Mytilus edulis: one gene and its partner. Each later gene encodes a partner of the first gene's protein in a complex. Links are inferred from orthologs where the notes say so. Each region holds a gene or a part of one and is shown on either strand. Other genes may lie near its edges.

The links.
Region 2: the proteins of kinase suppressor of Ras 2-like (region 1) and dual specificity mitogen-activated protein kinase kinase 1-like are in contact, whole or in part, in a cryo-EM structure (PDB 8BW9), measured with the Drosophila melanogaster proteins. The link is inferred for Mytilus edulis from reciprocal best matches to the Drosophila melanogaster genes ksr and Dsor1. Residues at the interface, in NP_001287177.1 of Drosophila melanogaster: Gln767, Tyr828, Asp830, Met831, Gly832, Leu833, Gly834, Val835, His837, Arg849, Ala850, Leu851, Gln852, Asp888, Gln889, Pro890, Ala891, Glu892, Ser893, Ile895, Trp896, Gln897, Gly899, Arg900; in NP_511098.1 of Drosophila melanogaster: Gly98, Gly99, Lys123, Asp236, Met238, Ala239, Asn240, Ser241, Phe242, Val243, Gly244, Thr245, Ser247, Met249, Arg253, Leu254, Gln255, Gly256, Ala310, Met311, Ala312, Ile313, Phe314, Leu317, Asp318, Val321.

The regions. Positions count from the first base shown.
Region 1 is NC_092349.1:83,179,040-83,196,103, forward strand, and holds the start of kinase suppressor of Ras 2-like, read left to right. Parts: upstream 1-10,711; 5' UTR 10,712-10,889; coding exon 10,890-11,054; intron 11,055-16,585; coding exon 16,586-16,723; intron 16,724-17,032; coding exon 17,033-17,064. Other genes in the region: replication factor C subunit 5-like, read right to left, coding at 5,485-5,564, 5,886-6,022, 7,523-7,587, 10,621-10,664.
Region 2 is NC_092347.1:76,731,380-76,747,831, reverse strand, and holds the start of dual specificity mitogen-activated protein kinase kinase 1-like, read left to right. Parts: upstream 1-7,484; 5' UTR 7,485-7,665; coding exon 7,666-7,781; intron 7,782-12,025; coding exon 12,026-12,257; intron 12,258-12,957; coding exon 12,958-13,104; intron 13,105-13,491; coding exon 13,492-13,569; intron 13,570-14,309; coding exon 14,310-14,361; intron 14,362-15,184; coding exon 15,185-15,309; intron 15,310-16,258; coding exon 16,259-16,448; intron 16,449-16,452. UniProt on the Drosophila melanogaster protein: Required downstream of Raf in the sevenless (sev), torso (tor), and Drosophila EGF receptor homolog (DER) signal transduction pathways.

The DNA of each region.
Region 1 (17,064 bases):
GAATTGTAAAAATTAATTATGATGAAAAAATTGTACAAATTAAATGTGTAATAAGACAATGGTCAAAACGAAATCTTACTGTTATTGGTAGAATTACTGTAGTTAAGACATTGATATTGCCTATTTTAAATCATTTGTTTATATCCTTACCAAATCCAAGTGATATTTTAAAAATGTTATTCAACTTATGTACAATTTTATATGGAGTTCACCAATTGATAGAATTAAGAGAGATGTTTTACAAAATGATATTGAAGATGGTGGACTCAAAATGATAAATCTTAGTGCATTTATTTTAGCACTGAAGTGTACATGGATAAGGAGATTATTTAAAACAGACAACAAATGGCAGAATGTTTTTTTGTCAAATGTTCATGTAGAACTTGAAAAATTTTATGGTTGTGGAAGTGTTTATATCCAAAAATTACAGCAACATATCAAAAATAAATTTTGGCAAGATGTTCTGAAAGCATGGCAACTTCTTAGAGAAAAAGATGAATATGACAGTTGGTAATGCTTTCTTGCTAGTCCAATCTGGCTTAACAATAATATAAAGGTAGCAAATAAACCTATTTTTTATAAAGATTGGTTTGAAAATGGTATAAGATTTATAAATGATATTGTAAATGAAGATGGGACCTTTTTCTCTCATCAAAAAATAGAAGAAATGTATCAGATAAATGTGAATTTCATGAGATATAATAGTATTATATCTGCTATACATCAAGCATCAAAATCATTTGTGGGAAAAAATCACAAATTAGAACTACCTTTAATTCCATCTGCTATTAAAAGACTTGTTAAAAGTTCAAAAGGATCTAAAGATATGTATATTGTTTTGAATAAAAATGGAAGTGTTCCCACTAGTCAGTTAAGATGGACTGAAATTTTTGGCTTTGATCAAAATAATTGGAAAAAAATTTATAAACTGCCATTTGTTGTCACAAATAATACTAAGTTACAGTGGCTACAGTTTAGATTCAATCATCGAATCTTAGCTACAAACAAATTTCTTCATAAAATTAAGATTTATGATAATCCAAATTGTAAATTTTGTAATAGAGAAATTGAAACATTAGAACATTTATTTTGGGAATGTGAACATACACAATTATTATTAGAACAGATTGAAAATTGGTTTCTAACCAATGGAATTAGTGTACTTTTTACAAAAGAAGTTTTTTTGTTTGGTAACACTGCAAAAATATCAAAAGGCAATGCAGAAAATACTCTTTTTCTTACCATAAAGCAATATATTTATAATTCCAGATGTTTTAAAAAAAAACTGACAATAAACTCAGTAAAAGAAAAGATAAAATATGTGTATGCAATGGACAAAAATATTGCTATGAAAAACAAATGTGAACATCAGTTTCTCATAAAATGGAATGCTTTTGATATATTACTTAGCATGCTTAGTTAAGTACAATAATGTATATACATGTTATAAATGAAAATGCTGTATTTACTATACTAAAATAGAATTCAATTTCTAGATGAATTATATTGAAAACTCACCACACTATTCTCTCTCACTCTCTTTCTCTTTCTACCTCTCTCTCTCCGGTGTTCAAACTGCTTTACTCTTTATCTAATATTTGTATATTTAAAAAAAAAAAAAAAAAATTACTTCCTAATAGAAAGATGTATTGATTAGATAATATCTATAGATTTATATATTATATATTGCTGTTATATTTGTGTATATTATGTTGTAAATTGGAAGTTAAAAATAATAAAAAAAAAAAAAAAAAAAAGAAGTGGCTTCACCTTTCTGGTTACTATTCATGTGTTGTGTATTAATGTATCGCAACACTTTATAGTTATTGGACAGGTTAAACTCAGACGACGAATCATCCAAACAGCACCAGATCTTTTGTGATTCCAGCTGATTTCAGATCACTAGCAATACATGATAATAGAAAGTTTGAAAGTTCCAGTTCGTGCAACTGATTTGATTAAATGATTAACAAATATTGAAATTTTAAAATACAGAAAAAAGATACAAGTTTAATAATGATTGTAATAAAGAAAATGTAAGTTTTGTAATGAAATGAAAGGCTCAAGTACTAGAAGATCCTGACATGATGTACTGACTCATTGGAAGATGTATACAGCAAGTCCAGAGATACTGACAATATCCAGTACGTACAGATCATAGACACTGTGCACTAGTATCAATTATAGATTATTTTTAAATATTGCATTGTGGTACACGTTTTATTGTATACAGGCAATTGCGGGAAACAAATCTCCTTAATTTATACATTGGATGCCAATGGGGTTTCTCATAGACACAAAACATTAATAAAGGTACAGTCACCAATCCGTTTGTAGAGTGTTTGTCCTGGATGACTTAGTTCATCAGAAATTCCCAAGGTTGATGGTCATTGGGCAAATTCATTTGATTGATAAAATGCCATACAAGATGAGCAGCATTTTTTTTAAAATTTTGTCCAGTTGATTTCTGAAAGCCTTGGAAACTACTAAACTTGATATGATTTCCGCTGGCAATTGCATTAAGCTTATTTAAAAAAAAAAGTTCAATGAACATTCGAAACATGAGCATATCAGATTTGAAAATTATAGTCCTGATGTCATCATATATAAATGTATTGTCTCGAGACCACAATAGTCAATAACATGTATACATCATGTCTTACATAATGGTAATCAAATTCAGAAAAATAACATTAAAATTGGCTATTCAGAAAAATAACATTAAAATTGGCTAATTATTGGAAACTTACCGGTAGTACATTGACATAGTTTTATAAATATCAAATTGTTGACATCAGCATTCACATGGTCAACTAGCACTTTACAATTCAGACTCAGTTTGTTGGTCAAGTATACATTTCACACTCTGACCTATGATGTCACATTCTCAATATGCATTAAACTGGCCACTGGACATGAACAAAGACTAAAAATATAATCTACAGGCATTCATCAGTAGCTTTTTTTTTTATGTTTACTTGATTGTTTTCATATGCATTCAACACACATCAAAACCTTAGGAAATGTAGTGTGTGATATATTGGTGGATTAATACTAAAATCCAATTGATTAGAAAGCAGCATTTAAATTCGTGTCATAATGAAAAACGGTACATGTCTGCAAGGTTGTGATGCCAGAATCCCTATATTTTGGGAAGCCAGCATCCGGATATTTTGGTATGTCAGCATCCAGATATATTGAGATGCCAGCATCCCGATATTTTGAGATGCCAGCATCCCGATATTTTGGGATGCCCGCATCCAGATATTTTGGGATGCCAGCATCAGATATATTGGGATGCCAGCATCCAGATATATTGGAATGCCAGCATCCAGATATTTTGGGATGCCAGCATCCAGATATTTTGGGATGCCAGCATCCGAATATTTTGGGATGCCAGCATCCAGATATATTAAGATGCCAGCATCCCGATATTTTGGGATGCCAGCATCCGGATATATTGGGATGCCAGCATCCGGATATTTTGGGATGCCAGCATCCAAAAGTATTGGGATGCCAGCATCCGGATATTTTGGGATGCCAGCATCCAGATATGTTGGGATGTCAGTTTCCGGATATGTTGGGATGCCAGAATCTATAAATAATTGGAAGCCAGCATCCAAACGTTGAGGTATTCAATATGAAATTAAAAGAATTACATCAGCATCTATCAAAGGTGAAGATGCAATTTTAATCATTTTCTTCATTATCCGCAGACACATTTTTGAAATATGCTATGTACAGAAATAAGAAGTGCATTTTAGGCCAACTAAAATTAATTAGTAGATTTTCATCCAAATTTTTAAAAAATAATGGGCGGGTGGGAGGATTTTATTTTTTAAATTTTATTTCATATGAAACCCTTTTGTGACGAGTTATTTATATATGCAAGTGTAATGATTAGCTTATATCATGTATACTCAAGTATGAGGAATCTTACATAATTTTTCAAATCCATAAATAAATTATACTATCTAATTGCGGCTTTAAAAACTAAACAACGAAAACGTGTGAGAAATGCTCTCTTCAGTTGGACTACCTTCACAAAATGTATTTGGGTTTCTAAACGATGGTTTGTATTCCCTTAAAATGAAGCAAATGCAATGGTATGCAATACATTTATTATCTATTATGAGTACATAATAAAATGAAAACTCGAATAGTGTTGAAATAATAGGGTTGGTACTTATACAAGCTGAAATTATAATTATCATGTAAAACATGAACTTAATAAAAAAAAAAAGTATTGTTTAATGACTCTTTTGTGTGTATTGGGACATTTGCTGTTTGTCAACATAAAAATAAAATGCGTATGTTTGTCGACTTTTTAAATTCAAAATACGGTCATAAATCTAACAAGTTCGTGCTTGTGTTTCAATATCTTTAATCCAGTCATGTTTTCTGTATCAATGGTTTCCACGATTCTTGTGCTTTGGGTATCATTCACAGTTTGAATTTCCTGACACAAAGCCATTGCATAAATAAAAAAAATCCAGTTTTCTATAAATCTCAGAAATTTGTGACATACCCCAATTTGCGGTCTTGGAAACAGAGTGTTTCTCGTAACACGAATATTTTTACGTCATTCTCGTAATCAATATTTACTCTCGGAAGATGATGTTGTCATCATGAGAGCAGCAGAATATGTCGACTTAATCATTTTGGTTAGATTTACTCGAGGTACAAAACCGAAATTTGAAACAGGAAGCTTCGAATGAAACGAAATTTAAATGGTTACCGGTAACGGAAATGAACAAAATCCGGAAATTGTAAATTTTATAAAATAAAAAAATTCGGGGCGGGCCAATTTCATAGGGGCGGGCGGGGATGAAAATCTATCAATTAATTTTAATTGGCCTTATACAAAACCATTTCACAACTACAAAAGTTGTTAATATAATCGAGAGAGCATCCATAATCTTTAAGACCCAATAAAATTCATTATGTAGCATCTACTATTCATAGAAATAAATGAATCAGTATGATTTTTGGTAAAATGAGCATATGTTGATACTTAAACAAATGCAATATAGTAGAAATATTCTGAATATGGAACATGGCCGTAACATTTTCTCTGGACATTGAAAAATTTAGTAGAATACAACATAATTTTACCTTAAAAATTCAAAAATTGTCAAAAAATGCTCTTTAAGCATATGAGAATTACAAATTTTAGTTGAGAACACATTCATGGGTATATGACACACCATTACCCAATGATGCAACTGCATACTAAGTTTGGTTATCCAAGTTTTACAGTACATAAGTTATGCACTGGACACAAACTGGACTGGGTTTTACTATCAAAGTGCTCAAAGTAACGGTCAGATAGATCAGACTATGGTATATGACACTTTCGATTTTGTCATTTGTTAAGGGACTTCTCTATTTGAATTTTATTTGGAGTTTTTTATTTTTGTTATTTCACTTTTTACATGCTTCTTTGAGTTTCAATTATCAATATGATTCTAAAATGATACTTACTTGAATATGGTTCTTGTACTTGCAAAACTAAGTATTTGTCCTCTCACTATTCCTATCCCTCTGTCATCTGAGGCATTCAACTGTTGAGATAAATTAGCAATATTACAAGTAACATACTAGATTTCTCTTCAAAATAGAAATGAGACACAAGAAGGTACAAAAATGGAAAATTAAACAAAAGGATGGAAAAACAGTCAGAGATTCAATATCTCCCAAATAATGTAAAAATGAAAATATCTAACTTGCAACTAAGACTTTGACCTTAGATGTAGTGACCTTAAAATCAATAGGTATCTTTCTTTCATAAAAGCTAGTGGCCTCCAAGAAAAGGCTGAGTGTGCCAAAAAATCCATTTACACAAAGCATCTTGAAAACAACCTGTATGGTGGATGGAAACAAACCTCGAGCACCATAGAATTAAATTCTTTAGGTGAGTATATCTGTTTAGCTACAGCCAATATAGTACTAGTCTTCCCTGTTCCTGGTGGTCCATAGAACAACAGATGTGGTAATCGTTCTTCCTTCACAAATTTACCAACTGGAAAAAAACAAAAAAAAACATTCAGTTCAGAGGTTGTCGTTTGTTGTAAGAAGTTCATAAGTGTTTCACCGTTTTAAAAAGATTAAAGACTTGTTTGTTTTCCAATTTGAATGGTTTTCACTAGTCATTTTTTTCAATTAATATTGTTATTGCGAACCATGTAAAATATGTTATTTCTATCTATCTAGCAGATAAATTTTTTACTCAGGTAAATTAATCAATGAGTGATAGATTTCTCTTAGAAAAAATTTAAAGGTCCAAGTGAATAAACTACACAGAGAACAATACCTGTTGTATTTGTTCAATGGGGCAAATGAACTGCCAAAAGTTTAAATGGACAGTTAACTATCAGATGAATCTATGGAAAGGTATCATTGGTTTGCAATAATACACTTATGGTTAGTATGGTTTTAAATTTGAAAATAAGAGTTGAGGAAAAATGAATTTCATCCACTATATTAAGTGATTCCCAGCTGAAAACAAACAATAATACAGTAAATTTGAGAGTAATACTCTCAAATTTGTATATCTGTCTACATATATATCTCTATGAAACTAGATTTGTTTGAACAGCATGAACGGCTCCAATTGATCTGTAACTCATCATGGTAGACTCACATACTAACAAGAATGTGTCCATAGTACACAGATGCCCCACTTGCACTATCATTTTACATGTTCAGTGGACCGTGAAATTGGGGTCAATACTTTAATTTGGCATTAAAATTAGAAAGATCATATCATGGGGAACATGTATACTAAGTTTCAAGTTGTTTTGACTTCAACTTCATCAAAAACTACCTTGACCAAAAACTTTAACCTGAAGCGGGACGAACGATCGGACGCACAGACCAGAAAACATAATGCCCCTCTACTATTGTAGGTGGGGCATAAAAATCAGCTCAATAAGTGAAGGTGTTTAGAAAACAAATCTGAAACTGTTGAAAGCTAGTGCATCAGACTATATATAGCTACTAACACAAAGGTTCCTGGTTCGATCCCCACTTCAGGGACAGAATTTTCATTTGTCGCTTGACACCATTTGCGAGTATGGTCTTGAGGAAACAATACAAGTCTGTCAGAAAGGGAATGATAAATGGCTGACCAGTTTTAAGTGAAAGCCATATCTCTTGCAAGTAAAAGACACCCTTTTAGATTTCGAAAAAGAGCAGGCTAATGCCACTACAAGGCAGCACTGGCACCTGCAAAGTGGAAAGGGATTAATATAAGTTGCAATAACTAGTTTCTCAATCCACTATAAATAAATATGTTTAAACTACGGTAAACTGTTTGTTTCAGAATGACAGATAAGTCAGGGCAAATAAATATTTCAGACTGGAAAGTTATAGTCTATCACTATTGACCTATTCCTTGAATGCCTTCTAATATTAGAGCAGAGCACTCATAATATAGTGTGCAACTACATAAAGATTGATTGAATGAATATTTTTTATTTGCGAAAGCATAAATAATATGCTATTGAATGTTACATCTTACTTGTTGATATTATATCTGTATGTGATATCAGGTCATCTAACTGTTTTGGTCTATATTTTTCAACCCTGAAAAAATAAATAATTATGATATGAATTAGATGAATGTATATAACTTATAAGAGTTAAAATAAGTAATGCGGGCTATTTAACCAACGCTAATGTTGAACACAATTTTCCCCCATAAACTTTTCACCAAATGAATGAATGACAAATGTTGTAACTGCCAACTTACATGGATCAATCATCAGACCTGCCAACTGGTAAGGCCAAAATAAATAAACAGTGTTTCCTATTTCACCCCGATTTTTTTTTTTATGTAGGGTAGGTAGGTTAAACATTTTATTTTATGAAAACTTTTTATTTTTTTCTATCGATGATAGCAGAAACAGATTCCAAATGAAATCATTTGATGTGCCTGCATGTTTCTTTGATATTTAGAATAGTACTTACATCTACAGCTTTTTAAAAATTTTTGTTTTTGTTCTGTGTAAGAAATATGAAAATAAACTTTAAATGCAAATTTTATGCATTTCATGGGTAGTAATAGGAATATGTTCTTGCCGATTACTTATCTTAAAGCAAAATTGGCAGTGAAAAATCTGGCATGGTATTATGTTTGGCTTTGTTGAACCTAACAATGTCAATGACACACAGGGTATACATGTGGGAACAGATTCCTAGCGCCTTTTTTATAGTAGTAAAAACACATCAAATCGATGCTTAGCAGCAGCTGATTATGATTTTTCAAGGGGTAATATTCTTGCACCCTCTTTGTGTTATACATATAGATGTGCTTTGATGTTTGACAGAATTTATTCTTGAAGAGTGGGGATCTGAAAATATTAAAATTCCAGATTTGAGAAGAGTGAGAATGCAAGGTATTTGCCTTATTAAAGCTATGGAAAAAAAATTGTAGATATTAATAGGACATGGAATTTTTTTCCTTCTCTAGTATAAACTGTTGTTGGAACAGCCAGAGAAATATTAAAGAATAAAAGTAGACATGGTGCTGGGGCAGATTCATTTATAAATAAATATGAATCATACACCATGTCTGCCTATAAGGCCAGGATTTTTTAATTTGTTGGTTTACGGATCCGCCGACCTGATTTTGCCTATTTCCAGAATAAAAATAAAATTGACTTTTCATGCTTTTTCATTCCCGCCGACCCTAACAAATGCATTATCCCTGAAAAATAAATAAATTAGCCTTTTTTTATAAAATGAAATGCATTAATCACTAACAGAATTGATAACACTTTCTGTTGTGAAAAAATGAAACTTCCAGTTTACGTTTCTAAAAATAGATAAATCAATTATTAATGACCTTGACATGTCGTTTGGACAAATATTTTTGTGGAACGAAACCCGTGTTTAAAACAAATTACACAATAAGTTCGTTTCTCTTATTTGTCAACAGTCCGTAAGATGCATTTTCTCATAGAAATAGACTTGTCCAAATGTGGACAGGTGGAAGTTCAGGACATCAAGTTAAAGTACTGAATATTAACAGATCATTTAAAATTTTCTTGTTTCATAGATAATAAAAAAATTTCGTCCATTTGGATAAAAACGGGAATGCATGACAACAGATTAACCCGATATTCTCGTTTTTTCCAGTGGACGAGTCTATTACGTTTTTGACGCGTGTGTTGAAAATTATTTTCTTACCACGCTTTTACATTTATTTCTTTATCAGTTTTCGTTCTTGAAGATCATTATTCACCAAGTTTTCTGGAATTGATTAAGAGCTATGTGAATTTGTCTTCCTTTATGAAATTTAATTACGTCTTTGTCCGTGCACCCCCTTTTTTACGGGAAATTATTAGGCAATGTCATGCAATTTTTATTACAACTGAGCAATAATATTTCATTAAACTAAAATTTAAGAAATGATGACAAAATAGGATAACAAACATATTATTAGAAAGGTGAAATATATATTTATTTTGCATATCAGTTTTCTGTCTTGAAAGGTATTTTTTTTATTTTTTTCCCGACCGACCGACCCGACTTTGTCATGGAGAAAATCCGTAAACCAACAAATTAAAAAACCGTGGCCTAAGGTAAAGCTTTCTATTTCTCATTACACATTGTCTGCCCCCTTGCCCTCATTAACTCAAACTGTCAAATGCTGAAAAGCATTAACAGCCGTTTATGTTGCGTCCTGAAAACAATTTTGTAAGAGCAGTTTTTACAACAAAAGCTGGATTGATTTAAGCAGTAAATTGATCTCATTTTACTCTTAACTTATCTGTCAATTAACCAACAGAATTAGATACAGTCTGTCCATCCTGAGACAGACCGAAAAATTCGGATTTTTAATAAAAAAAAAAACTTTTGTAATAAAATGTTTAGGGTTATAATTAGATATCACAGGTTATTCGTACAGAAGGTAGAAGATCCTAGTTACCGGAAATCAACGTTGATTGGTCGAAATATTTCAAAATGTCAAACTTGCCGAGAATGAAAGTAGAATGTACTGAATGTTGAAAAAATTGGATTATCTAGGACTCAGAAAGGACGTTGATCATAGTTAGGCACACGAAAATGTAGAAAAAACATTTATCTGGAAGTGTATACAGGTACGGATGTCTGACAAGTAAAAAATAAGCGAAAAATGAGCCCAAACAAATTGTCCACGATCTTTGAATGGGCACTGCTTTCTGTCTCTATATTGCACAAAAAAAGAAAATAGCAATATTAATAAAAAGCAAATGTCAATCAGTAAATATATGCATTATAGGGACAGAATAATTCGGTCTACATTAAATATTAATCATTGAATCAATCATGCATGTAATATTTGCCACTGGCACTGAATATTTAACACCCATCTTCAATCCATCCTTTAGCAGGTACTGTTAGGGCGGGGTTATTCAGACTGATGTTCAGTGTAAAACGTCCGTCAGTGTCAGGATGTGTTAGTGGATACCCTACAATACATGTATAAACTATAGATCAAGATCTACCTCCCCCTTTTTTTCTTCTTTTTACAATGTGTTGTTTTATTAAGTTTACTGTCAAACAATTTCATGATTTAAAACATGTTGGAAGATAAATGGCTGAAGTTGAAATAACGCAAATATCTTATTATACCATGGTAAATTAGGATTTGTAGCTTTTTCTTCTTTTGTTGTCATTTCTCTTTCCCGGCAAATTTTATTACGTCTCGTCTAAGTCACGTGACGTCAATTTGCGAGAGTGCTTGCTTCGCAATATGGCGGAAATCATTTTGGACTGTCAAAAAATAACAAATGACGACTATTTTGTTACTTGTTGATCATTTTACATGTAAAAAAATAATTTGTTGCTAGGGAAGTTCAAAAGCATGCACCGTAATTTAGTGTATAGGTAACTTTAGGAAGATGGTAGACTCATCAGAGGCCGAAAATGGAGAGATCAAAAGGGCCATTTCAATGTGCACGACAGCGCAAGATATGATCGACTTTACGGCGATAAAATTGAAAGGATTACGTGAACAATGCGATCCTTCAGAAGAAATTACACAAAAAGAAATCAGGGATACGGAGGTATTCAAATAATTGTTGAAACGCCCCTGATTAGCTTTTGTTTACGTCTCTAAAATGTAAACATTTAACAGCTGACTAATGCCGGAAGGCATTTAACCCCCCGTCTTCATTACTTTGTTAATTGACACTACCTTGTTACTTGTTCCATAATCTAATTAGGTGATTAACCAATTAACAGGATGATTATTAATTACCGGTAGTCAGTGAAAATAATTGATTCAACAAATCAGACTTTGTTTTGTAAAATTTACAACATTTTAAATTTGGTAAACATGTATTGAAAATGTTTATTGATGAATATATGATCATACCTTTTTGTATATAATGTACTTAAAGATAATCAGCCAGTGTCAAAACCTCTAGCCATAACTACACTGACACTACCATGATAAGTTAAAGTTTAATAGATTTGTGAAAATAAATAAAAAAAATGTCTCCACTTTTGGCCTTTATAGTTATACATGTTATATCGTTCATATGAATTTTGAAGGGTTTTATGTTACATGAACAAGGTATAATTTTCTTTGGCACAAACTGTGTTTCATGGAAATTATCCAAGTAATATTTGTTATATTTGTAGTTATAAGTTTTTATTTTTAAAAGTTTTTTGAATAAAAAAAATTAAATGCAAGTTGTAAACTTCTATGTCATTTGTCCTCTGGTGGAAAATTGTCTCATTGACAATCGTATGACATCTAATATTCATACATGTAGTCTTAGCCTACTAAAACATATATTTTATGTTTATAGTCATGATAGTTATTCTCCAATTTTTTCTTGTTTTCTTATAAGTTATAAAATAGTAATATCTGAAAGTCATGAAAATGGTTTACAAAATTTAGCTTTAAATGAAATGAATCATTTGTATGTGTACATTGTACATGTGCTGAGATAGTGATATATATGTTTGTCTAAGATTGTAATCAAAAGTTTAATATCAAAGTTTTTACATCTAACATGTCTTTTTAGATTTTAAACTTTTGACAATTGGACCTGAATAAGAAAAAAAAAAGGATAAAATAATGTACAAATGATGTATTGTTTGGATGTAAAAACTATAATTATGAAGGCAGTGATCTCCCCAGACATTTCATTTAGCATCCTGGTAGGCAGGGAAATTTGAAATATCATCTTGTTTCTAAAAATAATAGCATTGCTCACATCCATAACATAATCTACATGATCAATAAGAAAATTAATTCAGATAGCATCACATTACTGTCGAAAACACTGGAAGGGTATGTATGAAAAGCTACATGAATTTGAAATGGTCATGTATTAGACTTCACAAGTGTTTTTTATGCCCCAACTGCAATAGTCATGATAGTGGACGGGCATTATGTTTTCTGGTCTGTGGTTTGTTCCTTAGTCTGTTCGTCTGTTCGTCCGTCTGTCCCTCTTCAAGTTAAAGTTTTTGGTGAAGGAAGTTTTTGATGAAGTTGAAGTTCGATCAACTTGAAACTAATTACAAATGTTCCCTATGATATGATCTTTCTAATTTTAATGCCAAATTAGAGTTTTGACCCCAATTTCACGGTTCACTGAACATAGAAAATGATAGTCTGAGTGGGTCTTCAGTGTACTGTGGACACATTCTTGTTTTTTTGTCTGTTTTATACACAGAAGTACAATGTTTTTGTTTTTATTGACAAATCACGTTGACACATTTTTAAGATGAAAGTTTCATTATTCAGCTTACACTTACAATAAGAACATATTTAATGAACTTCCTTTTCTTAACTTTCATGACGTTCATCAGGAAGACATCACTTTTCAAATAAATTTACTTCTAAAATTTAGAAGTGGAAACATAGTAATTAAAAGTAACCTTTAATTTGTAATAATGGTCTTGATACCTTAAAATGTATCTGATATTAAAAAAAAAAAAACATGAAAAAAATATGGAAAAGTGAAATGAACAAGCAAGACATTTGTACAGTCTGAAGTGAAATGGTTGCTCCCTTACATTCTTGTTAAATGGCTCCAATAATTTGAGATGATGCCATTCATGTTCTTGTTGAATATCAAAAGTTAATCCACCTGAATATGTGTGATAAGGACATTAAATGAGCAACAATCTATGAATATTTGAACTTTATATCACATCTGCACATGATGAGAAAAGAAAAGTACATGTAGTTTTGCAAACAGGAGAATCAATAACTAATATCCTAGAAGTTGTCAGCTATTAAGTGCTTGATGACTTTCAATAAACCTACAACTCTTGGGTCAATTTGTAGATCAGCATATAAGAACACTTGTCTATTGTTGACCTTAGTGTTGTTTGACCTTGTTATTTGGTTGCAAGTGATTTAAGTGGGTCATACATGTTCTTGTTATACATGTTGATAAGGAACAAAGGTCACTTCTAAAAATTGGTAGAGCCAAATGGAAATTTAGGGAATGCATTATTTTTGACTTTTTGACGGGGAAAATTAACCTGCCTGTATCATTGTATCCCAAACTACATGTATAAGTATAGTAAAGGTTGTTTTCTCAACTAGGATTTTTTTTTCTCTCCTAGACATTATACTATAGGCATTTAGTGAAATAACTGAAAGATCATTCAACTCTGTATATCCTTCAACCATAGATGATGCTCAAAATCTGTACCCTTAAAGATAGAGCTCTGTAAAAGGCCTTGAAATGACAAATAAAAACAATTTTAATGAGAAAACTAATGGCCTGATTTATTAAGAAAATAGTAAACATAAACATCAACAAATATGATGTACATGTACATGTATAGCAAGTTAGCAACAAGACCTTTTGCAATATTTCATAATAAAATTGAGAAAGGAAATGGTGAATATGTCAAAGCGACAACCACCCGACCATAGAGCAAACAACAGCCGAAGGCAACCAATGGGTCTTCAATGTAGCGAGAATTCCCGCACCCGTAGGTGTCCTTCAGCTGGCCCCTAAAATATGCATAATAGTACAGTGATAATGGACGTCATACTAAACTCCGAATTATACACAAGAAACTAAAATTTAAAATCATACAAGACTAACAAAGGCCAGAGGCTCCTGACTTGGGACAGGCGCAAAATTGCGGCGGGGTTAAACATGTTTATGAGATCTCAACCCTCCCCCTATACCTCTAGCCAATGTAGAAAAGTAAAAGAATAACAATACGCACATTAAAATTCAGTTCAAGAGAAGTCCGAGTCTGATGTCAAAAGATGTAACAAAAGAAAATAAATAAAATGACAATAATACATAAATAACAACAGACTACTAGCAGTTAACTGACATGCCAGCTCCAGACCTCAATTAAACTGATTGAAAGATTATGTCTTCATCATATGAATATCAGGTACAATCCCTCCCGTTAGGGGTTTAGTATCATACTATCATAAAATATATGAGAAGAACATAACCCGTGTCATGCCAACAACTGTTTTTTTAGAAATAAATGTGTTTAGTTCCGATGCAAAGACCCTATCAGTGAATCAATGTTAAATCCAAAATATGCAATCTTTAATGACCTGACAACAGTATCGTAACTATATCCCCTTTTAATAAGTCTATTTAAAGGTTTTGTTAGTTTCTGAGGAGAATACTGACATTTTTGTGCTTTATAAAGAATATTTCCATAAAATTTTGGATGTGAAATACCTGAACGTATAAGATGTCTGCATGTTGAGTTATATTTACGAATTATTTCCTTATACCGGTGATAAAATTTAGTAAATGTTTTGACCAGTTTGTGATATCGAAAACCCTGGTGTAATAATTTTTCAGTAATACATAAATTTCTCTCGCTAAAATCTAATACATTGTTACATACACGAGCGAATCGTACAAGTTGAGATATATAAACACCATAAGATGGTGACAAGGGAACGTCACCATCTAAAAATGGATAATTAACAATAGGAAATGAAAAATCATCTCTTTTATCATAAATTTTTGTATTAAGCTTCCCGTTTATGATATAGATATCAAGATCGAGGAAAGGGCAGTGGTCATTGTTATCATTAGCTTTATTTAAAGTAAGTTAAGTTGCATATAGCACCCGCACTAAAATATATACACTTTAAAAGGTGTTATCATAGAGACTTTAAAAGGTGTTATCATAGAGACTTTAAAAGGTGTTATCATAGAGACTTTAAAAGGTGTTATCATAGAGATGGGGTGGCATCTGATGGAATGCTATATATAAAACCTTAACCATCATAACAATTTGTTTTAGTTTAGTAGGAACAATGAGAGAGTGCAACTGTCTTGTTAAGACATAAACACCTGTCATCAGACCATACCTAACAGCCATGTAATTGATTAACATGTCATTAATATATAATAATTACATATCATTACTTTACCTTTGATGTTTAACAACCTACAACTACATTGTACAAATCATTTATTTACAATGTACTAATATATTTTGAACATGTATTGCTATGACCAAATTGTTCTTTGTTTGTTTGTCAATAAACATGATCAAATAAAGAATTATGATAAGCAAATGTATATATGTATTGCTATAAATATATAATAATATATTCTTTGGAAATCCATGTAAGAATTTTGAAACTTCACTTTATTATCTGTATCTATCCCTGTGAAGATAGATGTGCATGGCATTTAAATGTTGGCTTAAATGTTTAAATGTCGTTGACTTGGCTTCCTTATACAAGAGGGAAGATAAAAAAATGACATTTAACCTAAATGATAATGAATATATATAATTAGCTGAATTACTGTATTACATCCTCATGACTCTTTTTCTGTTTAGCATAAACATGATAAGCAATTAAAGTCAAGATATTACATGATTATACTTTTCATTTTATGATGGCAAACAATTATATATAAAAACATGTAAAGCCTCTTTGGGATACTTGTGGGAGAGGCACACAAATGCAAAACAAAGCATAAAAAGTAGTTGTATAAGAACTTACATCCAATAAATACCTTGACCAGTGTCATAACAGTTCTTAACATTTTATTTGGCAATATATATATCCTGGATTTTACTGATAATTATAGATTATTGTTGGTTATCTCAACAAGATTGATTTTCTCGCTTGAGCCGGTCACGTTGAGATGACCAATGATAATCTGTTTATCGCTATTTAACTGAGGACGGCATGTGGCTCCTTAGTTTCTAGCGATAATTTTCCATCTCAAGCGAGTAGCATGATATGAAAAATTATCACAAAATAAGATCAAAGGAAAAATGCACAAAATAGCAATAATAAATATTTTTACAAAATATCAGCCTGTATAATTAGTCAGATGAATCATTTCAAATGTTTGACTGTTCTTTGATCATGTTGATGAATACTGTGACCATTCATCCACAGGAGCCTAACAATTATTTTTATAAATGGAGATAAAGCATTCAACAATGAGGCAGCAACTAAGCAACACAAAAAAAATCAAAATAAGTCTAGCGGTCTTCTTGCCTTCAACAAAAGAAAAGTGCTCATACAGTAAGAACTGTCTAGTTGTTTTTATTTGATTATTGTTTTACTAAAGTTTTAAACATGTGGTTAATTTTTCTAATGTTTTATTTTCAGACAAAATTGATCAAGTTATTTAGTAAGCAGCTGGTAGCAAAAACACAACTGAAAGCCGAAGACAACAAGAAACATCTGTCCGAATATCCTAAAACTGAACAATGGCTGACCATAGTGGGATTAAAGAGTTACATCTCCGTAAGTTATGTCTTTATTACGTAGTTAATCAATTAAAAACCTTTTCCTGCTTAGGACTGTTCCATAAAACATACATGGAACCTAGGCAAGGCATTGCCAAAACTCAACAGACATCTATGTGTTGGTGTCATCTATGTTTTTGGAATGTTACATACATACATGTCTCTTTTTTTTAAAGAAAGTGTTAGTTTAATTAATAATTATTATGTTAGGCATTTGGAACATATCCTAAGATTAAAACGCAGATTAAAACGCTATGATTATGACCTATATCTTAACCTTTTCATTCATATTTACTTTTATTTATAGGATATTGTAAAGAGAGGACTGTCTTTGAATTC
Region 2 (16,452 bases), on another chromosome or scaffold:
AATTCCTAAACTGTTGGAACCATAACCCTCAAAATGAATCCAAACCTTTTACTTGTGGTATCAAACATTGTGGAACAATTTCAGAGCAATTGAAATACTCATAGGTAAGTTATTATCCTGAAAGTAGAAAAGTGTTTGTTTTGGCCCCTCATTACTAAACGGGTGGACCATCACCCCCAAAATCAACCCAACCTTCTTTTTGTGGTACATGTATTGAACCTTCTGATTAAATTTCAAAGAGATCCATTCATGTAAACTCAAGTTATTGACCGGAGTGTTTTACGTATACCTCTCTTGATTCAAATCAATTCCTTATTTTCACTAAGACACAAAATATGTGTTACATGAGGACAAATTACAAATCAAATACAATATATATGACAGAATAGACGGGTAACTGATAACAAAAGTGTACATGCATCTAACTAAATGAAAGTAGATAGTTTCTTGATAAATAGTATGGAAAGCATGTTGATGATCAGAATTATATGCAGTGGTCCCAGCATTATATATGCAGTTGCCACACCATTATAGGGCCTGTACTGTAACGGGACCGGCAGTCTACCAAAAAATTCACCACTTCTTAGATTTTTGTAACATTTCAATAAGCGAATTATCATTATTCACATGGGAGGGTGGGGCTGTTCATTTTGAATTCAAATATATAAAATTTATTTGATCCCCCCATAATATTTCACTATTTTTATTTGACCCCCCCCCCCAACAAAAACATTTAAAAAAATGTGATCCCCCCTCTATTAAACATGTCAAAATTGTAACATGCAAAATATTTGTTATATCATAGATATCATGAGGCAAACATTAAATATTCTCAGTGGATTGAGTCCAAAAACAATATTCCAGGGAACATTGCCTTGAAATAGGGCTCTTCCAGTAATTTTAAGAGGTAAGCTATGGCAAGCCGTTCTCGTCAAAACTATGTTTAAACCATTTTTCGAAAAATTTACACACTGAGAATTACAACAAAGCACACTGAGATTTAAAAACTTCAAAACGCACACTGAGAATTGAAAATTACACACTGAGAATTGAAAATTACACACTGAGAATTAAAAATTACACACTGAGATTTCATAAAGACGCACCGAGATTACAAAAATGAAAAACGCACACTGAGAATTGAAAATTACACACTGAGAATTGAAAATTACACACTGAGAATTGAAAATTACACACTGAGATTTCAAAAAGACACACTGAGAATAAGTAAACTGAAAACACACACTGAGAATTTGAAATTACACACTGAGAATTTAAAATTACACACTGAGATTTGTGCGCACTTTTTATGCGCACCTATCTAATTAGCATACTTAATCTGTATCTATTACAAGCTTAAAACAACAAGGGGACAGAACTCGTTAGTCCTTCGATTTGATTCCAAATTATTAATAAAAAAAACTTTAGAAATACAAGAAAAAGAAAAATGCCCACTTACTCTTATTACAAAATATAACCAAATGGTGAAAAACTTTATTAAAATCATAAGAAAACATTGGAACAATCTGAAAAAGAATGCAGTGAAATTTTTACTCTAGTGTCTATTAAATATAGCATATAAACGTAACAAAAATATAAAAGATTAACTAGCGAAATCAGGGAAACAGTTGGAAGACTTTTGAAAAGGGACACATGTTTAATTACTGGTAGTAATGATATGAATTATAGGCAACAAACTTATGAATATGAGCGATGTTAAGTCTTGAAATTTATTACGAATGTTGGTTGAAGGAATCGCATTTCATTATAATGACAAGAGTTCTTGAGATCAAGATATTAATCTGTTGAATTATTCATCTCATGAATATTCATTAGTAATTTGCATATTAATCTCAGTGTGTATTTTTGAAATCTCAGTGTGTAATTATCAATTCTCAGTGTGTGTTTTTCTATTTATTTCATCTCAGTGTGTCTTTTTAAAATCTCAGTGTGTAATTTTGAAATCTCAGTGTGTGTTTTTTATTTTTTTAAATCTCAGTGTGTAATTTCGATTTCTCAGTGTGTTATTTTTGGTTTTTAAATCTCAGTGTGTATTTTTTTCGAAAAAAAAGGGTTTAAACATAGTTTTGACGAGAACGGCTTGCCATAGTAAGCAGCAAAGCTTTTTCTGACTCTTTTTTTTCTAATTTCCTATATTGAGCTATTGAAGAAAAAGTAAACTTTTTGATACAGCAACAACACATTAGTTACTAAGTGGGATATCTATTACCCGCAGTATATGTTCCTCTCTTGGACGCTGCTTGAAACTCAAGTTTTACAGTAGGCCTTATTGAAACCTCCATGAGGTTTATATGGATTGGTTATTCGTTCCTACTCATTTATTGACACATTTCATTCATACATTTATGTGTGATAGTAACCCCAAAATTTTGAATTGTTAGCCTAAAAAATACAGATTTTGAGGGAATGAGAGTTATAAATTAACTCAAAGGGATCTTAGAATAAATAAAAACGGTACGATGATTAGTGATGTTCAAACTTCTCATTTCTTTGTGCAAAAACTATTGATCCTCCCATTTTGAATTTACAATAAAATTTGAACCCCCCTATTCCACATACAGAAACAAAACTTGATCCTCCCTGTATTTTGACCAGCCCCCCTCCCAGATAAATAATGATAAGTCCCTAAATAAGCACCTGAAATATATGGTTATAAATCAGACTGTTAGAATAGGTGTGCCGATATAATAGGGGTTTTTGTTAACGCTTTATCCTGCTTTGTGACTCTTCACAAACTTTTTTTACTTAACATGAACCACCACAATTGGCGGATCCAGAGGGGGGTTCCGGGAGGTGGAACACCCCTTTTTTGGACGATCAATGCATTTAAATGAGGACATGTGTTTGGAACCCCCCTCTCCCCCCTTTATCCTGGGTTTGGACCCCTTTCAAAATGGCTGGATCCGCCCCTGACCACCATCACTGATCATCATCTTCATCAACAAACTAGAGCCTCTCAATAGCCTGTGTCGCTCACCTTGGTCTATGTGCATATTAACAATGGACACAGATAAATTCATGACAAAATGGTGTTTTGGTGATGGTAATGTGCTTGTAGATCTTTCTTTAATGAACATTATTGTTGCTACAATTATCTCTATCTATAATGAACTTGGCCCATTAATTACAGTGGAAAATATTTCCTAAAAAATTACAAAAAATAACAAAAATTTATGAAAATTGTTAACAATTGACTATAAAGGGCAATAACTCCTTAAGGGGGTCAACTGATAATTTTGGTCATGTTGACTTATTTGTAGATCTTACTTTGCTGAACGTTGTTGCTGTTTACAGTTTATCTCTTTCTATAATAATATTCAAGATAATAACCAAAATCTGCAAAATTTCCTTCAAATTACTTATTTCGGGGCAGCAACCCAACAACCGGTTGTCCGATTTATTTGAAAGTTTCAGGACAGATAAATTTTCACTTGATGAAAAATTTTACCCCATGTCAGATTTGCTCTAAATGCTTTCGTGTCAGAGATATATTAAGCCAAAATCTACATTTCATCCCTATGTTCTATTTATAGCCATGGCAGCCATCTTGGTTGGTTGGACGGGTCAGGCCACACATTTTTTTAAACTAGATACCCCAAAGACGATTGTGGCCAAGTTTGGATTAATTTGGCCCAGTAGTTTCAGAGGAGAAGATTTTTGTAAAAGATGACTAAGATTTACGAAAAATGGTTAAAAATTGAATATAAAGGGCAATAACTCCTAAAGAGGTCAACTGACCATTTCGGTCATGTTGACTTATTTGTAAATCTTACTTTGCTAAACATTATTGCTGTTTACAGTTTATCTCTATCTATAATAATATTCAAGATAATAGCTCAAAAACGGTATAATTTCCTTAAAATTGCCAATTCAAGGGCAGCAACCCAACAACGGGTTGTCCGATTCGTCTGAACATTTCACTGCAGATAGATCTTGACCTGATAAGCTGGTTGGCCAGGTCACGCCACACATTTTTTAAACGAGATACCCCAATGATGATTGTGGCCAAGTTTGTTTTGATTTGGCCCAGTAGTTTCAGTGGAGCAGATTTTTGTAAAAACTAACGACGACAGCGAACGACGCTGGACGCAAAGTGATGAGAAAAGCTCACTTGGCCCTGTGGGCCAGGTCAGCTAAAAACGTATGATGTTGGGACCACTACATATCAGAGGCGGATTTAGGGGGGGGGGGGGCTCCTTTTTGGGAAAAAATTTGGTTGCTTATTTAGGGAATCACTGAAGCGTGACTGGAGCGGGCCCCCTCTTAAGTCAGTCAGTGGGCCCCCACTTATGAAAATTTCTGGATCTGCCACTGCATATAACAGGGGTGGAACCAGCATTTTGGAAAGGGGGCAAAGTGTTTAAATTCGCCGAGCGGAGCGAGTCAAAAAATTTTGGGGACCTTTTTTTGCCGCTACAAAAACATGAAATAAGTGTAATATGCACCTTTGAAACGATTCCTGGCGTGGTGCATGTATATTTTGTAGTTCCCGTAAGGTGTAACGGGGTTGGACATTTTCGATGCTGTATTCTCCAGGCTATTAATTGTCTGTCATAAAATGATAGCACGGATTTCAAGCTATTTACTGATAACTTTGATGTGGGAATTTTCAGTAAAAAAAGACATTGAAAATTCTCGCTGGTTTGCTGTATGTTAAGTTATCATAACCTCACAGATTTTTTGTTGTAAACAAGATACAAGTCGGGCTGTTCGATAAAATTTCCAATACAGCGGACACGAGCTAAAAAAGACGAACAAGCAATATTTATTCAAATGTTTGGTTAGATATGTTTCGCCCAAGAAAATTAAGGGATGCGAGGGATCCCAAACCAACCAAAAGCTACCAATGCGTCTGAAATCATCGGGCAACGAATATATGAATGACGGTCGAAAAATGTAGACATTAAGGCTACTTCCAGCTGTAGGTTGTAGTCTGGTCTTGAAAAAAGTATTCAATATATCAGTTCGGCGAAACAGACATTCCGGTCAGACATGCAAACCCCGGCCAAAATAAAAAATACGCCCGTTTTTATCTATCATGTTCATTTAATGCTTAATAATTCTGTTGGATATTCGTTTCTAATAGCATAAAAATGATAAGATTATTGTTTTCAATCCAGATACGGCCAGAATTTCATCTCTCAAATATCTCAGACTGCCTCCTCAAATCAAATGGTTCGTACCTTAGAATTTAAATCTATCTAGAGCTTATACTGACTGGGGATCATTATTCAGCTGTTATTTTAAAATAGGATGCCGATCATGGGGCGTTACGAGTTAAACATGTTTTCGTAGGTAAATAATATTGCTGAGGAACTTTTTTTTTTCATGAGAGTGTACTAATTTAGAGTATTACTGTTTTGTGGACTAATGAAATAGAAGTCACTATGTTCTTGCTCAATCCTGTGTCGCCTTGAAGGTTTTAAGATTGTCATGCTCAGCCTAAGCAATTTGTGACAGTAATTTAAATTTCAAAATGACTGAGTGACGTTTTTTCGACGCACAGGGTTGCGTTCAATATCGTAGCGGCTACCGTAGTGCTACGTAGATTTTGACTATTGAACGCGTAGCTATAGACTAGTTGTTACATAGATATTGATAGCAGCTACATAGCTGCTACGATATTGAACTCAACCCTGGTCAACTCCACCAAAGTGAATCACATGACTTTCAGTTAGTATACGGGCGTTTTTCAATAAAAGCGTTCCTTTCAGACCTAAAAAAAATGGAAAATCAACTAGTCTAAAATTTATTTTCAAGAGTTATTTTGAATACCTCTATTATAGACATAGGCGGATCCAGGGGGGGGCTGGGGGGCCCGGGCCCCCCCTTTCGTGGGAAAAATTTGGTTGATTATATAGGGAATCATTGAAGCATAACTGGAGCGGGCCCCCTCTTAGGTCAGTAAGCGCCCCCCCCCCCCCCCCCCTTAGGAAAAGTTCTGGATCCGCCACTGATAGAACTGTTTGTAAACAAAAAGTGCAATCTTAAATACTCTTTAAAATGATATTATTTTCATAATTTGTGTACTGTTTCGTAGGGGACTTTTGTTCTCTACGAAACTGCTTCTAAACACACATATTTTTGCAATTTTAAATGTTTCCTATAGACATTCCAGTTTGTTTACGTTATATACTAGAACAATCTCATTTTTTTCTGAATTGGAGAACCATTTTTTATTGATAAAGATTAGACAGTACTTCACATATGAAGGTACAACTCATGTTACGCAGTGGACATTTTGATGCGTTTCGTAGTTGACAAAACCGTTTCGTAGTGGACAAAAAGTTTCGTAGTTGACATAAACCCTATTCTATGTTAATAAAAACATAATAAAAATTACATGAAACTAACCTTTGTTATTTGTTTTGCACGAATATAATTGAAAAAAGAGTAAAAAAAGACTGCATGGTAGTGATAGTGTCCACTACGAAACGTTTTTCTCCCATTGGCAAACTTGTTTCGTAGGGTATTTTGTAGGGGACGTATTCACATGTTTTATTTTTTTCTCACAACCCCAATATTGCAATAGTAACAAGACTGACTGTATTCATCAAAGCGTTATTAAGCTATACACTGATATTTTTTTCATAATTTTAAAACCAGTTACTGAAGGAGATTTGACCCGTTTCGTAGTGGACATTTACAAAAATACGGTATCACTCTGGTCCATTTGATGTGCTCGATTTTTCTTACCAACAGTTTAATTGCCGTTATAAAAGCATCACTTCTTTTGTAATACCCTAATGTTTATATCTCTTGCAAACAAAAAATTACATTGATTTTATAAAACTGTTTATAAGCAAGTTTTAATGACTTCGTTTCGTAGTGGACATTGTCACGGTTAGGGACACACCTTCTAAAATAAAAAATCCTATGTCAAAAGCTGTTTATTAAAATATGTTGGCTCTAAACATACTTTTGAATTATTAAAGAACTTATATTAAGTAAAATTAATATTTATTTCTTCATTTTTTTACGATATTTGAGAGTATGAATGTTGAACAGGCGGTCTAGGGACATGCCATTTTGGTTGTTTTGGACCATTCAGGAATCAATATCTTATCAATCTCTCTAAAAAATAAACCGTTTCTTTGCTTAAAAATGTTATATCTAATTCAATGTACTGACTGCACAAAAAATTACTTGCAAAGATCAAACACATTTTTTTTAAAGTGGCTAGGACAAGAAAGTACGTTTTTATTGAAAAACGCCCATACAGTGATACACCAGCGAAAAATATCTTTATATTAAAGTAAAGAATTGTCACATAAAATAAATACACGGGAAATACCCTCTACGCCCCCTCTGGATCCGCCACTGCCTAAATATATGCCTTCGCATTATATATTCACTATTTAACGTTTTCATGCTGATATTTTAATTTTTCATTTTTTGTGGTAAAATTAATGATTCACTGGTGACGTTGTTTAAACGTGGATGTGACTGTAAAATACTAAAGCAGGTGCTCGTGCGTAACTTCCTGTCAAGAAATTATTATTGAATCGATCGAACTGACAGAACTGATATTCACGCATTTTAAATAGACATAATCAATGGGCAATATAAATGCATTTGATTTCTGAGCTCATTGACCATTTCAGCTTATTTAAACTGTAAACCATAATTGCAAACATTTAAAATATGCCAAACAAGAAAGGGCTTCGACTTCCGTCAACATCGGGCGATGGCATGCCACCAGTTGCCGTGCCGGCACCGACACCCCCTCCTCCGGTTGCAGTGCCAACCGTTGATGCTGAGTATGTTTAGTTACTTAACCTGTTACTCAAGAAATATTTTATTTTGTTACATAACTTCTTTTCATATAAATCTCAAAAGACCCTCCTGGGATCTAGTAGTTCATGTACAGTGATACATATCTTGTCAACATTCCACTCGAATCAAGGGGTGTTTGTCTGTGAGCTTATATGAACAGGCAGTGTCTGTATGTACCCGCATTGGGTACACGTAGCCAAATTGGACTTTGTAGGTTACATGTATCAGCAACCGATTTTATGTTAAGCCCAGACTGTCATATGATCATGACTGTCATGAGGAGAACTACTGCAGAATGAGATACTATATTCCTGGTTCTATTTTTACTTTTTGTTTCAGTATTAATAAACTTTATATCATATTCTTTTAATATTAAATCGACCTCATTGCACCCAATGCCTCTTACCTTAATTATATCCTACATTGCTCATATTATCAATTTATTATTTGTGTATTACTTATAATATTGTGTATTTCACTAATGTTTATATAATCATTGTATGATGTTTTTGTATCTTGCCCGACAAAGGCCCATGATTGGTTTAATAAAATAATGTCTAATATATATGATCAGGAATGGACAATGATGGAACGCAAAAGATGCACAAAAATTGTCAGTTATTTCCTGATTTTGTGAATTCAGTGAAGATAATTGCAAATAATATATCTTGATTTGTATTAAATGTAAATGCACTATAAAAGAATAAAATTATACTGAATGTTAAAATTTGAGGGAAAACAATGGTGAAAATTATTTCTTATAAAATTTGAAACAGAAACGAAAAATTTAAAATATCTTAAATGACTAAAAATTAATTTTGAGTGTATATATACACAATTTAATGTAATACGATAAAATTCAATATGTCTAAAACTAGACGCATTTGATAATTTATCCATTCAGGACTCTGGATTTATCATTTGCTAATTCTACTGTTCCACCTGAAATATTTCAGGTCTTCGTATATAGGTTTAACTGCTGAACTGTAGCTCTTAGGTCCTTATGTTATTTTTTTACTATTTGCAGACCTGAACTGTGGCTACAGTTCCGCAGCTAATATAGGTTAAAATGACCTTATTTTGTTTCTGTTTTTTTACTTGTTTGTAATTCCTTTTCAATTTGATTCTCATCTAAATAAATAAATATTCAAAAATTAACCAGGATCATTTCTACAAAAGTGTAATAGGGATGTAGTTAAATAAAATCGGCATTCATCTTTTCAATCATTATCGAAATTTTGTCATTTCAAATCTTAAAATCTGTGAGAAATAAATTTTTCACTTATTGTGATAATTTCTGGGGATATTTCACATTTTATTCCTGATCTAATGACATTAAATTATAAAACCAGAGGCAGGTATGCGTAGCCTACGAAGGCCAATTTGGCTACATGTACCCTCATGCTGGTACGTGCAGACAGTGCCATTTGAATAACCAGTGTTCTTGCAGAAGGTTGTGGTTCCACATGGGCTAGGTTTTTCTCTACCAATTAAAACTGACTTCCATGACACAGCCTACCGTGTAGATATACATGTATAATCTTCAAACGCCACAACAATGGGGGTAACACCAATGACACATGAAATTTTACTTTTTAATACATATTTGTGACTTTTAAACGTTGATTTATAAATAATATTACATTGTACACTGTAAGTATGTTATAACTTGAAAATAATTTATTAAAGCAGGTAAGTTAAAAAAAAGGACATTATGATTTCGGTGATAAATCCACATGACGACCAAGGAAATTAGAATCAGAATACTAAAAGACTGATTGCATATAAATGATCGCCCAATGTGTTCAATTTGGACTACCGAAGTGGACCCCTCATTTGTAAAAAAAAATAAAATCTCAGACTTGAAATGTATTTTATTTAACATGTTTATTTAAACAGACAACAAAAATCTGATTTTACAAAACAGTTCTTTACATGTTTTTGTACATGTTTTACATAATAAAAAATGGCACTTAAACTAAAAGGCATTAAGAGAAAATATTTCCATAAGGTCCAAAAAAACACAGGTATGTGGTTGTCCTGATAGGCCCTGTGTCTGAATAAGGGAATAGAATAACAATTGTTAACATGGTTAATTTGAATACAAAAGTATTTTCAAATTTATGAATCTATTTTCATGATTCAGATTGTACAAAATTGTATTGTAGCAGGAATTACACATCATTACACAAGGTATTTGCTTCTATTCATAATTTATACAATATTATTATTATGCACCAAATTTTTATACAACTGCAAAAATTGAAAATTTTTTGGTCGTATATTGGTATCACGCTGGTGTTGTTGTAGTCATCGTCGTCCGAATACTTTTGGTTTTCGGATTGATTTTGGAAGTTTTGGTCCCAACAGTTTAGGAATTAGGGACCAAAAGGGCCCAAATAAGCATTTTCTAGGTTTTCACGCTATAACTTTAGTTTAAGTTAATAGAAATCAATGATATTTTGACACAAAGTTTATGACCACAAAAGGAAGGTTGGTATTGATTTTGGGTGTTTTGGTTCCAACTGTTTAGGAATTAGGGGCCAAAAAAGGGCCAATTAAGCATTATTTTGGTTTTTGCACAATAACTTTAGTATAAGTAAATAGAAATCATTGAAATTTAAACACAAGATTTATCAACACAGAAGGAAGGTTGGGATTGATTTTGGGAGTTGAGATCCCAACAGTTTAGGAATTAGGGGCCAAAAAGGGGCCCAAATAAGCATTTTTTTAAACACAAGGTTTATGACAATAAAAGGAAGGTTGGGATTGATTTTGGGAGTTTTGGTCCCAACAGTTTAGGAATAAGGGGCCCAAAGGGTCCAAAATTAAACTTTGTTTGATTTCATCCAAAATTGAACAATTGGGGTTCTTTGATATTCCGAATCTAACTGTGTATGTAGATTCCTAATTATTGGTCCAGTTTTCAAATTGGTCTACATTAAGGTCCAAAGGGTCCAAAATTAAACTTAGTTTGATTTTAACAAAAATTGAATCCTTGGGGTTCTTTGATATGCTGAATCTAAAAATGTACTTAGAGTTTTTATTATTGGCCCAGCTTTCAAGTTGGTCCAAATTGTGGTCCAAAATTAAACTTCGTTTGATTTCATAAAAAATTGAATAATTGGGGTTCTTTGATATGCCAAATCTAACTGTGTATGTAGATTCTTAATTTTTGGTCCTGTTTTCAAGTTGGTCTACATTAAAGTCCAAAGGGTCCAAAATTAAACTAAGTTTGATTTTAACAAAAATTGAATTCTTGGGCTTCTTTGATATGCTGAATCTAAACATGCACTTAGATTTTTGATTATGGGCCCAGTTTTCAAGTTGGTCCAAATCAGGATCCAAAATTATTATATTAAGTATTGTGCAATAGCAAGAAATTTTTAATTGCACAGTATTCAGCAATAGCAAGAAATCTTCAATTGCACAGTATTGTGCAATAGCAAGAAATTTTCAATTGCACAGTATTTCGAAATAGCAAGAAATCTTCAATTGCACAGTATTGTGCAATAACAAGTATTTTCAATTGCACAGTATTGTGCAATAGCAAGAAATATCTAATTGCACAATATTGCACAATAGCAAGAAATTCAATTGGAGTTATCTTTCTTTGCACAGAATAGTAGTTGAATCAACTTAAATCATTGTTTTATTCAATATACAATGTATATTCACTTTTACTACCATATGATAAATTAAAACAATCTTTACCATTCAGTGATAACAAGCACTTTTTTTTACATTTTAATAATTAATGATGTATGTAAATGAGTAGTTATTGTTGCAAATTCCATTAGTAATTTGAATTGAGATCAGTTTTGGATTATTTGGAATAAGGGAAAGGGGGATGTGAAAAAAAATTGGGGGGGGGGGGCAATCTTTCTCATTTCAGATTTCATAAATAAAAAGAAAATTTCTTCAAACATTTTTTTGAGAGGATTAATATTCAACAGCATAGTGAATTGCTCAAAGGCAAAAAATGAATTTTAAGTTTATTAGACCACATTCATTCTGTGTCAGAAACCTATGCTATGTCAACTATTTAATAACAATCCAAATTTAGAGCTGAATCCAGCTTGAATGCTGTGTCCATACTTTCCCCAACTGTTCAGGGTTCAACCTCTGTGGTTGTATAAAGCTGTGCCCTGCGGAGCATCTGGTTCGTATCTTCTATTCAGTGATTTTTATCATCATGATTTGATATCATGTAAATGTTTTTTTAAAGAAAACCAACAAACACAGGTACAGCAAGTATGGAAGCACTTGCTTTAAAGCTTAAAGAACTTGATATAAACACACAGCAAAGAGAGAGATTAGAAATGTTTCTTACCCAGAAACAGCAAGTAGGGGAATTAACTCCTGATGACTTTGACAAACTTGGAGAATTAGGGGCTGGAAATGGAGGAGTAGTACTTAAAGTTAGACACATCCCATCAAGCTTAATAATGGCTAGAAAGGTAAGGATGTGTGTAAAAAACTATTGAAAGCTGATCATTATTACAAATTGTTGTTCAAAAGTACCATTTGACCCAGATTCTAAGGCATGGGTTAGATTCCAAGTTTTACAGCTGTTTGTCTGAACATAGTTGGTTCAATGATTATGGACTTCTAATTTTGGTTTTTAATCTGATAATGAACTATCAGTGCTATATATTTAGATTTAGGGGTTCTTAGCATCTAATTAAGTCTTTTCCTGACTAAAAAGGTCCAGATTAATACATTTCTGTACACTAATTGGGTCTTATTACATGTATTAGGTAAGAAATACCAGTATCACACAATATCCTGTCATGACTAGAATTATCAGAATGGTTAAACCTTTGAAATGTCAGATTTTAACATAAAAATATAGATAAATTCTTAAACATCTGATTATGGTTTGGTATGATCTGTTATTTCCTTCTGCTTTAAATTTCCAAGTGTTCTGACTAGGGAGAGATATGACTGCGCTTTTATGTTTTCTTAATCACAGTTCTAAAATGATTTTTTTTTAAATGTTTTGTAGGTATATGTACAGTGTATGTAACAAAATCTACCTAAAGGCTATATCCTATTACTGGTACATGTATGTACAAGTATTAAAATAATCTGAAACCAATAAAAATGCAGAAAAGGATATAGCAGTATTTAATGATATTGAATTATGTTTTCTTGTAGTTAATTCATCTAGAAATCAAGCCAGCAGTTAGAATACAAATAATTCGAGAGCTAAAAGTTTTACATGAGTGTAATTCACCATTTATTGTTGGTTTCTACGGTGCATTTTACAGTGATGGAGAAATCAGTATTTGTATGGAATATATGGTAAGTTACTGGGGTTATCTAGAGAGATTTCAAATTTCAGAAAGACATCAATGCACACAGTAATATTTAAGAGATACAGCTCAGTAATTTTGTTAATTATAAAAGAGTTGTTTTTTTATTTCATACTTACATGTATGCTTGTACAAAAATGTATTGAAGACATCTACTGTGGTGTATGATTAAACTTACACAATTAATTCTAAAATATTTGGATCAGCATGACTGATATTTAATTAATGCTTGATTGGTTATTTTAAGTTCTATATACGGATCCAAGAAGTAGCTTTTGTAGGGATACGTTTCATTTTGTATTATTTAATGCATGCAATGTATTTTTTACAAACTAGTTATCTATCATTTTAGCAATGAATTAATTCTATTTTTTAGGATGGTGGTTCATTAGATTTGATATTAAAGAAAGCTGGTAGAATACCAGAACCTATACTTGGAAAAGTAACAGTAGCTGTAAGATTTTATTATATATTGTGTCACTGAGTCTTTTGAGCTAAGAACATGAACACATAAGGATTACTTCCTTCTTCTTGCATCTTTGTCCATGTTATCTGTGTTGTCTTTGTTGTCCTCGTCACACTGTCTTAATCTGCAATGCCTTGAATACAGCTTGACAGAAAGCAAACCAACTTGCTTAGATTCTTCTGTGAAGTACATGACAGTTCTGCTCTGCTCTTGCTATATTTATAATTTTGATCAAAATTGCTCATACTAAGACAATGCCTTGTCCCTTTCTGCTTGTGTTATTTTTGAGATTGCAGGCAACACACCTACTGGTAGTCCGTGGATGACTCACAGATTTTCTATATTAAAAGGAATTTTCAGTTACCCTTGAAATAAAAGTGTTTGTATAGCTGTATATCATTTACAAAAATGTACATAGGTCCTGCAAATCATAAACATGACACTTGTTACATGCACAAAACATTATATTGGTTGAAATCTAAAAAACTTGGTTTTCTTCTTTTGCTTGATTCAGAAAGATAATCAAAACTTCATTGTAACATTGAACAAGGGCATAAAACATAAGTTTTCGAAAAAAGCCAACAAATTAAACAATGAGAAAGAAGAGATATTGAGACACTAGCCAAAATATTCAAATAAGTGAGCATTTGGTAAAATACTGAACAAAAAGATATATGAATCAGTTTGTTTCTAATCATTTATATATTTTTGCATTTCTTTGCTTTCAGGTTTTAAAAGGTCTAACATATCTTAGAGAAAAGCATCAAATTATGCATAGAGGTAAGTGATTTACATTTCTTTTTGAATGATAGATGAGGAATAGTTCAGTCTTTCTTGATAAGTAGCAACTATATATAAAAAAAGAAGATGTGGTATGATTGCCAATGAGACAACTCTCCACAAGAGACCAAATGACACAGAGATTAACAATTATAGGTCAACATACAGCCTTCAACAATGAGCAAAGCCTTTACCTCATAGTCAGCTATAAAAAGCCCTGTAATAACAATGTAAAACAATTCAAACGAAAAACTAATGACCTAATTCATGTACAAAAAAAAGGATGAAAAACAAATATATAACACAAAAACAAACGACAACCACTGAATTGTAGGCTCCCGACTTGGGACACTATGTTCATTTAAAGACAAGGGCATCATTGTATGTAGGCTATATCTCAGTATCAAACATGGTCCTGCGTTTATTATCTTAAATCATAACCCAAGGGCATTCATCCTCTTTCTAAGTAGAGCAAACACATGCATATATATGTTAATATAAATAATACTGGTATGATTGCCCATGAGATGACTTTCCACCAGAGACCAAATAAAGAAGAATTAACAACTGTAGGTCAATGAGCATTACCAATTCCACATCTAGTAAGTAAGCTGTAAAAGGCCCAAACATGTAAAACAATTAGAACAAGAATAATAACAGCCTCATTTTATGTACACAGCAATTAATGAAAAGCAAATATGATGTAAGGCAAAAATTGACAACTATTGAATGTGTTAGTCTGTAGGAAAAAACCTTGAATTAATTTTAGATATTGCTATGAATAGAGATCACTAGCTATATATCAGTTTGCTTTCTATTCCAGATGTTAAACCATCTAATATTCTAGTAAATGGAAGAGGTGAAATAAAGATTTGTGATTTTGGTGTGAGTGGACAGTTGATAGATTCCATGGCTAATTCGTTTGTAGGAACAAGATCTTATATGTCTGTAAGTGGTTATTCTTATGTCTAGTTCTTTGAGTTAATTGCATCAGAAGTAAGCTACTATTTTTCAAAAGAAGAATTAAACATGGGTTCCAAATATGAATGAAAACCTTTCAAATTTGAAAACAAGAAAGTTTCATAAATCTTGGATATCAATGAAAATTTTTTTTGTCTTTCTCAAGTACAATTTTTGACTTCTGTAGATATAAAAAAAAAGATACCTTGAAAAACATATTTTATAAACTACTGTTATAAACTTATTATATTTTTCAATATGTTCAACAAATAAGTAATAACTAAATCATCTGGCAAAATAATTTATCACTTTTGAGAAATATTGATATTTATAAATATTATTTCCTGTAGGGAAAAATGGAAAAATTACTTTAATAAAGACAGCAAGATTAACAACATAAAATAATTAAGATATGTAAATCTCTGTTGGGAAAAGTTTTTTAAAATATCTGATATAGTCATAGAATAATGTTATGTTTAACATCGACTAGCTTTTTAACATGGTCTACTTTTTTTTTTTATCATAGTCAATGCACATTATTCTTATAATTTAGCTGATGGTCAATTTTCAATTAAACCTGTATGATAATAATTTCAAAATATCCATTATTTGGATGCATTAATCTGAAAAAAAAAAATATCCATAGTTTAAAAGGCTTCATTAAACATTTTTATTTGTAGTAGACGACAAAAGTTAAATTTTACTTTCTTTCTGTAAATCACGTTGATGATGCAGACCATTGCTCTATGCTCTCACATGAATATTCTATTTATTGACTAGTTAAAATCATACTTTCTTCAGATTTAACAACTGCTGCGTTGGCCATCAAAAAATTGAAGCTTCTTTCTGAAATAAATAATTTTACTCATTTCCAAAATTAAAAAAAATAATAATCTAAAAGCCATCTAACAGAAATATATATATTTTTTTTTAACAGCCAGAGAGATTACAAGGCACACACTACTCAGTACAATCTGATATATGGAGTATGGGTTTGTCCATAGTAGAAATGGCTATAGGGCGTTACCCTATCCCACCCCCTGATTCTAAGGACCTGGCCAGTATATTTGGTGATAAAGCCATGGAGGAACATTTAGAGGCAACAAAAACAGGAAAACCATTAGTAGGTAG